Linked DNA regions of Canis lupus familiaris. The protein of the gene in region 3 purifies or fractionates together with the protein of the main gene of each other region. This does not show direct contact. Links are inferred from orthologs where the notes say so. Each region holds a gene or a part of one and is shown on either strand. Other genes may lie near its edges. The genes, in order: MYBL2, G2/mitotic-specific cyclin-B1-like and FOXM1.

What was found.
Region 1: the proteins of FOXM1 (region 3) and MYBL2 purify together in Homo sapiens (affinity purification with western blotting; 3 studies listed by BioGRID and IntAct, with this or other methods). This does not show direct contact. The link is inferred for Canis lupus familiaris from reciprocal best matches to the Homo sapiens genes FOXM1 and MYBL2.
Region 2: the proteins of FOXM1 (region 3) and G2/mitotic-specific cyclin-B1-like purify together in Homo sapiens (affinity purification with western blotting; 4 studies listed by BioGRID, with this or other methods). This does not show direct contact. The link is inferred for Canis lupus familiaris from reciprocal best matches to the Homo sapiens genes FOXM1 and CCNB1.

Annotation. Positions count from the first base shown.
Region 1 is NC_049245.1:32,003,858-32,006,910, reverse strand, and holds the end of MYBL2 (myb-related protein B), read right to left. Parts: intron 2,106-3,053; coding exon 1,956-2,105; intron 1,138-1,955; coding exon 1,009-1,137; 3' UTR 600-1,008; downstream 1-599. UniProt on the Homo sapiens protein: Transcription factor involved in the regulation of cell survival, proliferation, and differentiation. Transactivates the expression of the CLU gene.
Region 2 is NC_049250.1:29,512,760-29,516,112, forward strand, and holds G2/mitotic-specific cyclin-B1-like, read right to left. Parts: upstream 1,944-3,353; 5' UTR 1,849-1,943; coding exon 565-1,848; 3' UTR 543-564; downstream 1-542. UniProt on the Homo sapiens protein: Essential for the control of the cell cycle at the G2/M (mitosis) transition.
Region 3 is NC_049248.1:4,148,480-4,152,839, forward strand, and holds the start of FOXM1 (forkhead box protein M1), read right to left. Parts: upstream 2,889-4,360; 5' UTR 2,752-2,888; intron 802-2,751; 5' UTR 755-801; coding exon 229-754; intron 1-228. UniProt on the Homo sapiens protein: Transcription factor regulating the expression of cell cycle genes essential for DNA replication and mitosis. Plays a role in the control of cell proliferation. Also plays a role in DNA break repair, participating in the DNA damage checkpoint response.

The DNA.
Region 1 (3,053 bases), on a different chromosome or scaffold from region 3:
TACCCATCCAGCCCCCAGACATGGCCACATGCCAAATGGCCCCCAGACATGGCCCCCCACATGCCAAATCCTATGAGCCCCCCCCCCCCGCTGAACACCTCCCTGTCTAGACCTTCTCAAACCTGGCACCTACCCCACTTCAGTGCCTAGCTTCAGCCAAGTGGCCCACTGCACCCTGACCAGGTGGACTGGAGCCCAAGGTCTGATTGCTGCCATGGCCTTGGCAAGTTGAGGCCACTGTGGTAAGTTCCGGCCAGCTGCCAGTCACTCCTTGTTTACCAGTCTCACCTGGTGTCTAGGCCTATGGCAGGCCAGGTCAGCCATCCATGGCCAAGCAGGGTCCTGATGCACCTTCCCCTCCCTGCTAACACCCAAGAATCCTCAGAACTTTGAGACAGCCACTAGGTGATCAAACTGCCCCCAGCACACTGGACCTTTTGGGGGAAAGTATGCAGAGCCCCAGCCCTGGGCTGTGCTCTGAGGATGAGGATCCAGATCTCCATATCCCTCAAGGCCCCTGTGACAGTCACCAGGGAACCAACCCAGCGACCAGGAAACCACAAGCAGGAGACAGGAGAAAGGTAGAGTCTACAACAGCATTAAGGAAAAAGGGAATTTTATTCTTTCAAGAAAATGTACTAACAGGTAGAGGGAAGGAGCATGCTGGCCACATCCCCTGTTCTAAGCAGGGGTCTGAGATGAGGCCAGACCCAAGAAGGGCTCAGGAGGAGCTAAGGGGACTCCCTGTGGCACCGGGGAGAGGACCAGGCAGGCCCAGGGGTGGGACTTTGTTCTGTTAGCACCAGGAACCACCGCAGCCACAGCTGGACTCGGAGACAAGGCAGTGGGTGGCCCTGCTCTGCCTCCACCTGAGCAGTCTGAGGAGGGGCTGGTGGCAGAAGGCTCCCTGCAGGTGGCCATCCGAGTATGATTCTCAGACTCACAGACCAACCTCAGTCCCCCCAGCCCCCTGTAAACATAAGAATGAGCTCGTGACCACCAAGCCCCTCAGGACAAGATGAGGGTCCGAGACGTGTGGCTGGGCTTCAAGCGACCCAGGAGCTGCCGGGCTTTCTCTTGCATGAAGAGCTGGTCCCTGGTCCCCCCGCAGGCCACCGTCTTCCAGGCGCTGGTCATCTGGGAGGAGGCAAGAGAGTTACCATCCAGGCAGGGGCAGCAAGCTCCCAGCAAATGCTGTGATGTGAGCATGGCCAGGAGGAGTAGGGGGCATTTCTACAACTCTCGGTCTTCTTCAAGCCACAAGTCTTCTTGTGGTCCCTCCAACTCCCTAGTGGCCCTGGAGAAGTGACTCCTGTTTCAGGGCTTCCTTAGGTATACAGCAAAGAGGTTGGACCGGCAACATGGCTGTGCCCCTGCCCATGTGGTGCCAGCCTCCTCACGAGGAAAAGTTACAGCCAAGCAGGCTAGTGGGAAGGAGCAGTAAGAAATTCATGAAATATAGACAATGAGGTATGAGCAGCCAGGGCAGCCCCTACCCCTGAGGACAGACATGTGCTAAGCAACTAAAAACGGAGACCATGACTTAATTACAAGTGAGGTGACACCATAAAAGGGCTCACAGGCGGGGGGGGGGGGGACGGGGGGGGACGGGGGGGACTCCTGGGTGCCTCAGCAGCTGGACATCTGCCTTCGGCTCAGGGTGTGATCCCAGGGTCCAGGGATCGTGTCCCACATCAGGCTCTCTGTGGGGAGCCTGCTTCTCCCTCTGCCTGTGTCTCTGCCTCTCTGTGTCTCATGAATGAATAAATAAAATCTTAAAAGGGGGGTAGAGGCTCTAGCAGATGGGATCCCTCCCCAAGGGGATCTGGAGCAGTGTCCAGACTGAGATCTGAAGTGTAAACTAGTCAAGCAGAGTCTCAGAAGGGCATCTGGGCACGGGCAACAAATAAGCAAAGTCCCCAAGGGTAATAGGACATTGGTGGCCAAGCACTCACAGGGGCAGGTGTTGGAAAGTGGCTTCGGGGCTTCTGGGCAGCCACTGGCTTCTCCGGTTTGGCCTGCAGGAAGCCCTCGTTGAGCAGACTGGTGTCCTCTTTGATGCCTGACACCATGAGGCTAGAGGAACTCGACAGGACATTTGTGGGCTGCAACAAAAACCAAGCCAGACTCACCCTTCTGCCATAAGCATGATGGGAAAGAAGGAAACCAGTCACATCCCAGCACCTCCACCTCTGGGCTATAGGATTTGGAGCAGGACAGTAACTTCTCTAAGCCTGTGCCCCCTTCCAGATGGGGAATTCTCTGTAAAGTGCCCGTTTCAGAGACTGACAACTAATAGATGCCCAGTAATGCTGCTCCCCTTTTACATGGACATGGTCTCTCCCACCACAGCCTCAGGCAGGGTGGGGGTGCTCTAGTTTCTCCTAGGACTAGAAATCTCTACAAGCAGTCAGATGCTGGCATCAACCAGCACACACATAGAGCTACACAAAGCACCCACCACCCATCCAGCCTCCCGGCTCTGCTTGACCTTTACCCTAAAGGTAAAGAGTCACTGGGCTCAGTACAGTGAAAGGCAAAGGCAAGAACCTGAGGTTTGGGTAAACTAAGAGATCCTAAAGAACAAGAGCCAGCATTAGGACTTTGCAAGGTCCACTCCACCCCAAATCCTGTGCTCTAAAGTACTTGCCAGAGCTTTACTACTGAGCAAGTATGTTACATGCCCAGTTGCAGGTCTGTTGCAGGTCTGGCTGCACAGCATGAAGTCCCCAGCCTGCTGGGGCTCCCTGCCCAGTGATGCTTCTCTGCGAGGGCTATGGCTGCAGCAGTCCTAAATCCTCAGATGTGCAGGATCTGATCAGGCAATCCTTTGTCTCATGCCTCCCACCACCCCTCTCACTGCCTCCCACTGGGCAAAACCCCCCACTGTCAGCTGGGAGGGATCAACAGTGTGGTGTGCTGTCCTGAGGGCAGGCTCTGTGTAGGCAACAGCCCCATTCCTGAGCTCAGCCTGGAACTAGACAGCACCGTTCCCAGGGCTGATGTGTCCCAACCACCTGGCCGTGCACATCACCAACCCTCTCCACATCACC
Region 2 (3,353 bases), on a different chromosome or scaffold from region 3:
TAAATTGTGTAGCAAAATAAAAGGTACTGATATTGTACGCAAATTCTAGAATATGGTTTCTGAGATATATAGTTTGACTTTAACATTAGCCAATATTATCAAAAGGTATTGAGAATTTGAAAAGCTTAGATTAAAATATGCAAAAGATATTGCATACACTAATGACTGTATATTTTAAATGTTCATTTCAAGGTTTTAGTTGTCTCCTAGTACACGCAGTTTCGGTTACACTAATTTGTACCTTAAAAATGAAAACTTAGGGGTTCCAGGCTGGCTTAGTTGATAGAACATCCGACTTGTGATCTTGGAGCCGTAAGTTCAGGTCCTATGTTGGATATGGAGATTACTTAAACAACAAATTAATTAATTAAAAAAAATTTTTTTAAATTAAAAAAATGAAAACTTAGAAAATATATCTAATTAGTTTTTTCTTTTTTTTTTAAGAAGTTAAAAAGGACCACAAGCTTTATTAAAAGTAAGTAAAGGTAACATATAATATATACAGATGGCACATGGTGCCAATTTTATTTGCAGATATTACAATACTCCAATGCATGTTTCAAGTTACACCTTTGCCACAGCCTTGGCTAAATCTTGAACTAGTGCAGAATTTAGCTGTGCCAGAGTGCTGATCTTAGCATGCTTAGAGGCGGCATACTTGTTCTTGATAGTCATGTGCTTTGTAAGCCCACGATTCACCATGACTATATTCTTAGCCAGGTGTTGCATAACATTTAGAAGGGATTCTTCAGTGTAGGACAGAAAATGCTGTAGAGTTGGTGTCCATTCACCATTATCGAGAATTTTCAGCGCTAAGCAAAAAGCTCCTGCTGCAATCTGAGAAGGAGGAAAGTGTACCATATCGCAGTCCAACATAGATAGCTCCATCAGGTATTTGGCCAAAGTATGTTGCTCAACATCAACCTCTCCAATCTTAGACACTCTCCGAAGGAAATGCAGGGGTAGAGGGCAGCCCAGACCAAAATTTAAGGATCTTAGAATCTTCATTTCCATCTGTCTGATTTGGTGTTTAGTGTAAGTATTGTCAGTCACAAAGGCAAAGTCACCAATTTCTGGAGGGTACATTTCCTCATATTTGCTTGCAATAAACATGGCAGTGACACCAACCAGCTGCAGCATCTTCTTGGGCACACAGTTATTCTGCATGAACCGATCAATAATGGAAACAGTCATGTACATGGTCTCCTGCAGTAACCTGAATTTTTTTTGAACCTGTACTAGCCAGTCAATTAGGATGGCTCTCATGTTTCCAGTGACTTCACGACCCAGTAGGTATTTTGGTTTGACTGCTTGTTCTTCCTCAAGTTGTCTCAGATAAGCATAAATATCTTTCACGTATTCACTACAAAGGTTTGGATCAGCTCCATCTTCTGCATCTACATCATTCACTGCAAGAATTACATCAGAGAAAGCCTGACACAGATATTCTTCTGCAGGAGCACATCCAGATGTTTCCATCGGGCTTGGAGAGGGAGTATCAACCAAAATAGGCTCGGGTGAAAGTTTTTCTTCTTTAACCGGCTCAGGTTCCAGCTCTGGTTCTGGCACAGGGACAGGGACAGGCTCAGGTGCCTTCTCCAGAGGCTTTGGTATTTTTTTAGCAATGACTTTTCCAGGAACTGCAGTTTTTGCTTCCTTTTTCAGAGGCAGTTTGGCCTGTGGTTGTTCACTGACTTTGTTACCAATGTCTCCCAGAGCAGTTCTTGGCCTCAGGCCGGGCTTGGAGGCTGCAGCAGAGGCCAGAGGCACCTGCTTTGCCCCTGCCATACCGATCTTCGCCTTGTTTTCAACATTCACTTTTGTGTTCCTGGTGACCCGGAGCGCCATGGCCGCGTCTTCACGGGGGGAGAGGAGAGCGCGGGAGCCGCTGACGAGCCGGGAGCCGGGAGCCGGGAGCCGGGAGCCGGGAGCCGGGAGCCGAGGCCCGCGGGTCAACAGCCGTTCCTCCGCAGCACCTCTAATTAGTTTTTTCTTGATGTGTAATTATAATATAGCTTATATTTCATTGTATATTTAAATATATTTGTATAATATTGGTTGTAATCATGTATTAATAATTGAGAATACTCAGTTTTCTTTTTGGTTTAATTGATATATTGACATCTTTGCAGTGTTTCCTAAATTTCCTTTAACTTGGCAATTCACCAAATTCTTCTTTCAGTTAATTCCCACATTTTCATGTCTGTCTTTCTTTCTTTCTTTCTTTCTTTCTTTCTTTCTTTCTTTCTTTCTTTCTTTCTTCTTTCACGTCTTTCATAAAACCTTCTCCATTTAATTGAATGTGGTAGTAAATTTGCAACTCCTAATAAATACTCAGTGTATACTTGGGTATGAAGAGCCACACCATTGTAGGTCTCTCCTCTCTTTTTTCCCTTCTTTTTTTTTTTTTTAAATTAAAGATTTTATTTATTTTCTCATGAGAGACACAGAGAGAGAAGCAGAGACATAGGCAGAGGGAGAAGCAGGCTCAATGTGGGGAATCTGATGTGGGACTCCATCCCAGGACCCTGGGATCATGCCCTGAGCCCAAGGCAGATGCTCAACCACTGAGCCACCTAGGTACCCCTCTCTTTTCCCTTCTTCATTGGTACTTTGAAAACTTCTTGAAAGCTAAGAGGTTAATTCAGTATCTTACTGTCTGCCCTTGCATTTTCCTGCCACTTCTCCTTTTCTTCATTCCTGGCCTCTGTATTTCCTCTGACATTGGGGCCTATCTGGTAGTGGTGGAGTCAAGCGAGGTGGTGATGGTGTAAGTATTGGCATGCAGATGCAGCAGGGAGATCTGGAATCTAAATGTATACTATAGGAGGAGGAATGCAGTGAGCTGGAATGAAGAGGAGAGAAAGGAAATACACACACTCAATACCGAAATCCTTCTCTTTGGCTTCTGCTGCCCTTCTCATTTCCAAGTATATTTTCTCCTCTCAAATTTCCATGGGTGTATGACTTTTGTTTGAGCTTTGTTTGTGTGTATTGGTCTTTTTGGGTTACCAGTTATTCAGTTTCAAATCTGGAATATTTGAGGCAAAAAGAAAGCCTAGGAAACTCACCACCCTTTCATTCCTTGAGTCTCTGTGTTTCTACTGATATGCCCTCTCTCCACATTTTAGAGTCTTCAGATGTTTGTTGTATACATAGTGTCCAGGGTTTTAAATTGTACATAAGGGGAAAAATAAGGAAAAATAGATCAACTTTTTTTTTCTCGGAAGCAAAATTCTTAAGTAACTTTGTCTTCTTTAAGTTTACTTTTTGTAAATCACTTTTCTTACTATGTAGAGAGCAGATTCACAAGGGAAGAAAGTAGTGAAGCAAGAGAAGCTGGGAGACCATTT
Region 3 (4,360 bases):
GAAGATAATTAAGAAAAATAAACAAATCCTTTTCTCATATAAGGAACATCAGAGAAATGCCAAATTATTATTTGGGCACTTTTGACAGCGCCCAAAAGATCTGGGTCAACGACTGGGGAGGAAGAAAGACAAGACTTTCCCCTGGTTCAGGCTAGGTGCCTGTCTGTGAAGTATCAACTTGATGGACTGCAGTCCTTGCTACCAGAGAGGAAAAGCTGGACTCCTCACCCCTTTGCCTTGCAGACCACATACCACAGCTCTCCCATCTCTGCCCGGGAAGGGCTTCAGGTGGTCTAGGCAGATTCACATCCCTAGCTGCCGGCTTTGATCCCAGGGTCTCGGTGACCACTTCTGTCCTCTTGGGATCATTGCTGGTTTGGGCTTGAGGCTGGGGTCCTGGAGGGTGAGTGGGGGCTCCCCCACAGCTGATGAGGATGAATTTGTTGGGCCCAGTGCTGCCACTCTCTTTTCCTTTGGCGGTCAATGCTGTGATGATGCTCTGGATATTGGCATTGTTAGGGATGGCCACCACTTGTGTGTTGGGCATGGTGGGGTGGTTAATAATCTTGATCCCAGCCGGAAACTTGCAAGAGTTGGACTCTGCTGCCTCCTTGGAGGCCTGTGCTTGACCAGGTTCCTGTTGGGCAGGGGGCCTCTTAGGTTCCTCTCCTGATGTTTCACCTGGGGCATTTTGAACAGGAAGGGGCAGCCTCCGTCTTTTGAGAATCAGTGGCCGACGGGGGCTGGTTTTCATTATGAATCTGTGCTTTCACTCTCCATTGAGAATCACAGGTACGGACCCTGGAAAGTGCAAGGAACAGCAGGATGTCAGAGATTTGTTAGGCTGAGAAGGAGGTATTGCTAGAGAGAGGTGTTCCTCTTTCCAAGACCAAAAGCAAGAGCCCATGGGTCCAGGTTAATGATCCCTGGGCCTCTGTAAAGACATCAGACAATAAGGAGATGAGTTCTATGACAAAAGAAAGCTTAAACCTAGACATTTCAAAAGGGGAAAGTGGGACTGGGTTGAGTATAGGTCAACAAGACCAAAGGTCTTCCAGAAGCTTAAGAATGTTGGCTAGAGAAATGAATGGGACAGTTACAAAAGTGTGGAAATTTCTATTATTGCTTATTATTATACAGACTGCTTGCAGTGACTCGAGGGGCAGGAATGCTGAAAGGAGGACATTTGGCAATTTGAGAAGTCCTGACAAAACTCTGATCCCGGGATCCCTGGGTGGCTCAGTGGTTTAGCACCTGCCTTTGGCCCAGGGCATGATCCTAGTCCCAGGATCGAGTCCCACATCAGGCTCCCTGCATGGAGTCTGCTTCTCCCTCTGCCTGTGTCTCTGCCTCTCTCTCTCTCTCATGAATAAATAAATAAAATCTTAAAAAAAAAAAAATCCTCTCTGATCCCATAATCTATTTCAGGATTGATAAAGCCTGTATATTTTTTTATATCATATTAGTTTATAAATAAAAGGATCAGCACCCATAGTATCAGAGGAGAAAGGTAGATCGTACTATTGCTCCCTTGCCAACACCTCCTCCACAAGACCTCAAAGAAAATGGAAACTGCTCTATTCAGGGCCCATGGTGCTATTCATATCACAGGCTACCACCCTTGCACTGGCAAAAGAAAAAGTACACTTTTCTTTCACAATCTGCAAAATATTTCTATAGTGACATTTTAGTGTTTGCATGTGCTTGATTCATATTTTAACTTTCTAAGCATGTTACTCTATTGCTTAATTTCTCTTCCAGAACCAAGAATAAAACCCTATCTGCTAAGAGAATGTCCTGTCATCAATAGGCTAAGTGGTTTTGTCATGCTAAGGAAAATAGTTTTATCTTTTAACAAAATTGGGTTTGATTTTAAAAAATACACGGGATACTCTATCATGTAAAATTGCGTACTCCTGGCCAGAGGAATGGGCTGTGTTAGGTCATCCACTATCTCCCAAAAGATGACTGTCTTGGTCCTATGACATTTGCCATCTGCTTAGAGTTCATAGGCTCTCTCCCCTCTGCCTCCTCCCTTTCTTTTATAACTAGGTTTCCTCTACTTTCAAATATCAGTTTTATTTCTCCCTCATATCTCTTCGGGCCTCCCTCCGTTCCCCACCAATCAGTAAATACTATTATTCCTCCCCTGTCCCCAAAAGAGATCTTCCTGGTCCAAGGCTTCATTTTGCTTTCAACTCTCTCACCAGTCTCTTGCTATCATTGGCAACACTTGATCTAACCTAGGGGACTTCCAGGGTGACTCCTCTGACAGCACTGCCCATCCTGACCAGGGAAAGCTTGCAGGTGCTCAGGAACCAGGGGAAGGGCCCTGGAAAAGGGTGGAGTGGAGGAGGCAGTGCTGCCCAGTGGTGAGGGCGCCTGGGCGCTGGGAGGCTGCGGGCACGTTTGCCTCGTATGTAATGCAGAAGCAGCTCAGTCTTCACGCCAGCCACAGTCTGCCTAGAAAAGCAGGCCGCCCCAGCAGCCCTCCCCAAGTTGTGGGCAGGGTGCAGAGGTCAAGCTTCCAGGGGAGGCCGAGAGGTGGTCTGAGAAAGAAGCGAGGGCAAGGCCGGGAGGCGGGGTGCGAAAAAGGCTTGCACCCTCGCTCAGCCCTGGTCCCGCGAGGCCCCAAACCTCCGCTCGGGTCCCGCGCCGGGCCGCTCGACCCCCCGGCCGCGGCGCCCGAGCCCGGCCTCCCCGCCGCCGCCCGGGCCGCGGCTCGGACTCCATTCCTCCGCCCCCGCTCACCTCCCGACTGCAGCAGTCGCCGCCGCTGGGCCGTGGCTCCGAGGGCGGGTTCCGGGCTCCTCCGAGCCGGGGGCTCGCGCCAGGCCGGCCGGGTCCCGGGCGGTGCGGGAGGGGTGGGGAATCCCGGGGGATCCCGGGAGGGGAGGGGAGGGGTCCCGGGCCGGGGGCCGGGGGTGGGGTCGGGCACCGGAGCTTTCAGTTTGTTCCGCTGTTTGAAATTGGCGCCGGCGGAGCGTTGCGGTCACGTGACGGAGCGTCGCCAATCGGCGGCCGCCCTTGTCTCCGCGTTCCGGGCCCAGGACGCGGCGGCCCGGGGGAGCGGCGGCCGCGACGGCGCCGGGCGGGTAAGGCGGGCCTGCGGCCGGCTCGTGGGGAGGGGCAGCGGGCCGCCGGGGCCGCCCTCGGGGCGCGGCGGGCGGGGGCGGGGGGCAGCCCGGGCGGCGGCGGCGGCGGCGGGGGGCGGGGGGCGGGCGGCGGGCGGCGGGCGGCGGCGCTGCCCTGCCGGGCGCCTCGGCCTGCGCCCCCTCGCGCGTGGCGGCCGCTTCCCGGAGCCCGCCCCGCCCCGCCCCGCCCCCGGCGCCGCGCCCCCCGCCCCCCGCCTCCCGCCCCTTTTCAGCGTCCCGGGCCCGGCTTCCCTGCGGGGGGGGGCGGGGGGCGCTCCTCCCTCACCTCCGCTAACGATCCGCTGGCCGCGGCCGCCCGAACGCCCCTCGGCTCGTCTGAGCTAACTCCCGCTTAAAAGTAAAGGCCACGCCGTGAGGATCCCGGGCGCACTCGGTCGACCCCCTTTGCCGAGCACCTGCTCTGCGCCAGGCCCTGCGGGGACGCCGGCGGGGCAGGTTCTTTCCTCACTGTGCGCGCAGCGCAGTCTCACGGGAAGAGGAGAGGCCGGTTTTGAAGGCTCCAGCAAGCAAAAGGAGGATTACGGCTGTGAAGGGATAAATGAGAGGTCACTGATAGCAGGATCGACAAGATCTTGCCGTCGGCAGGTCAGGAAAGGCTTTTCTGAACGGAACCTTGCTCCGAGATCTGATGCGCTTGTGCAAGGAAGAGCGTGAACCCCGCCAAGCAAAGGGAAGAAGGTGCGCAAAGGCCGTGTGGCAGGAGGAAGATTGGTGTGGACAAAGGCTGAAGGACGGCCGCGGGCTCAGAGCTGAGAGGCCGGAGTGCAGTGTGCGGTGAGATGAAGCTGGAGCCGAGGATGTAGGACAAAAATCAAAAATGTTAAGCAGAAGTGATTCAAGATCAGATTTGCATTTTTATTTCTATTTTTTAAGATTTTATTTGAGAGAGAAAAAGCACAGGAGAGACGGCATGGAACGGGCGAGGGCAGAGGAAGAGGAAGAGGGAGAAGCAGACTCCCCGCTGATCAGGGAGCCGGGCATGGAGCTGCATCCCAAGACTTAGAGATCATGACCTCAGCCCAAGGCAGATGCTCAACTGTTGGAGCCACCCAGGTGCCCCCAGATAGGCATTTTTAAAAGGCTTCCTCTGCAGGGGGCGCTGGAGTGGATTAGGGTAGACCCATTAGGTTATTGTGATACTTCAGACCAGAATTGTTGGAACTTGAAGGGTGGTGGGGAGAGAATGAGAGCAAGAGAAGGGAGAA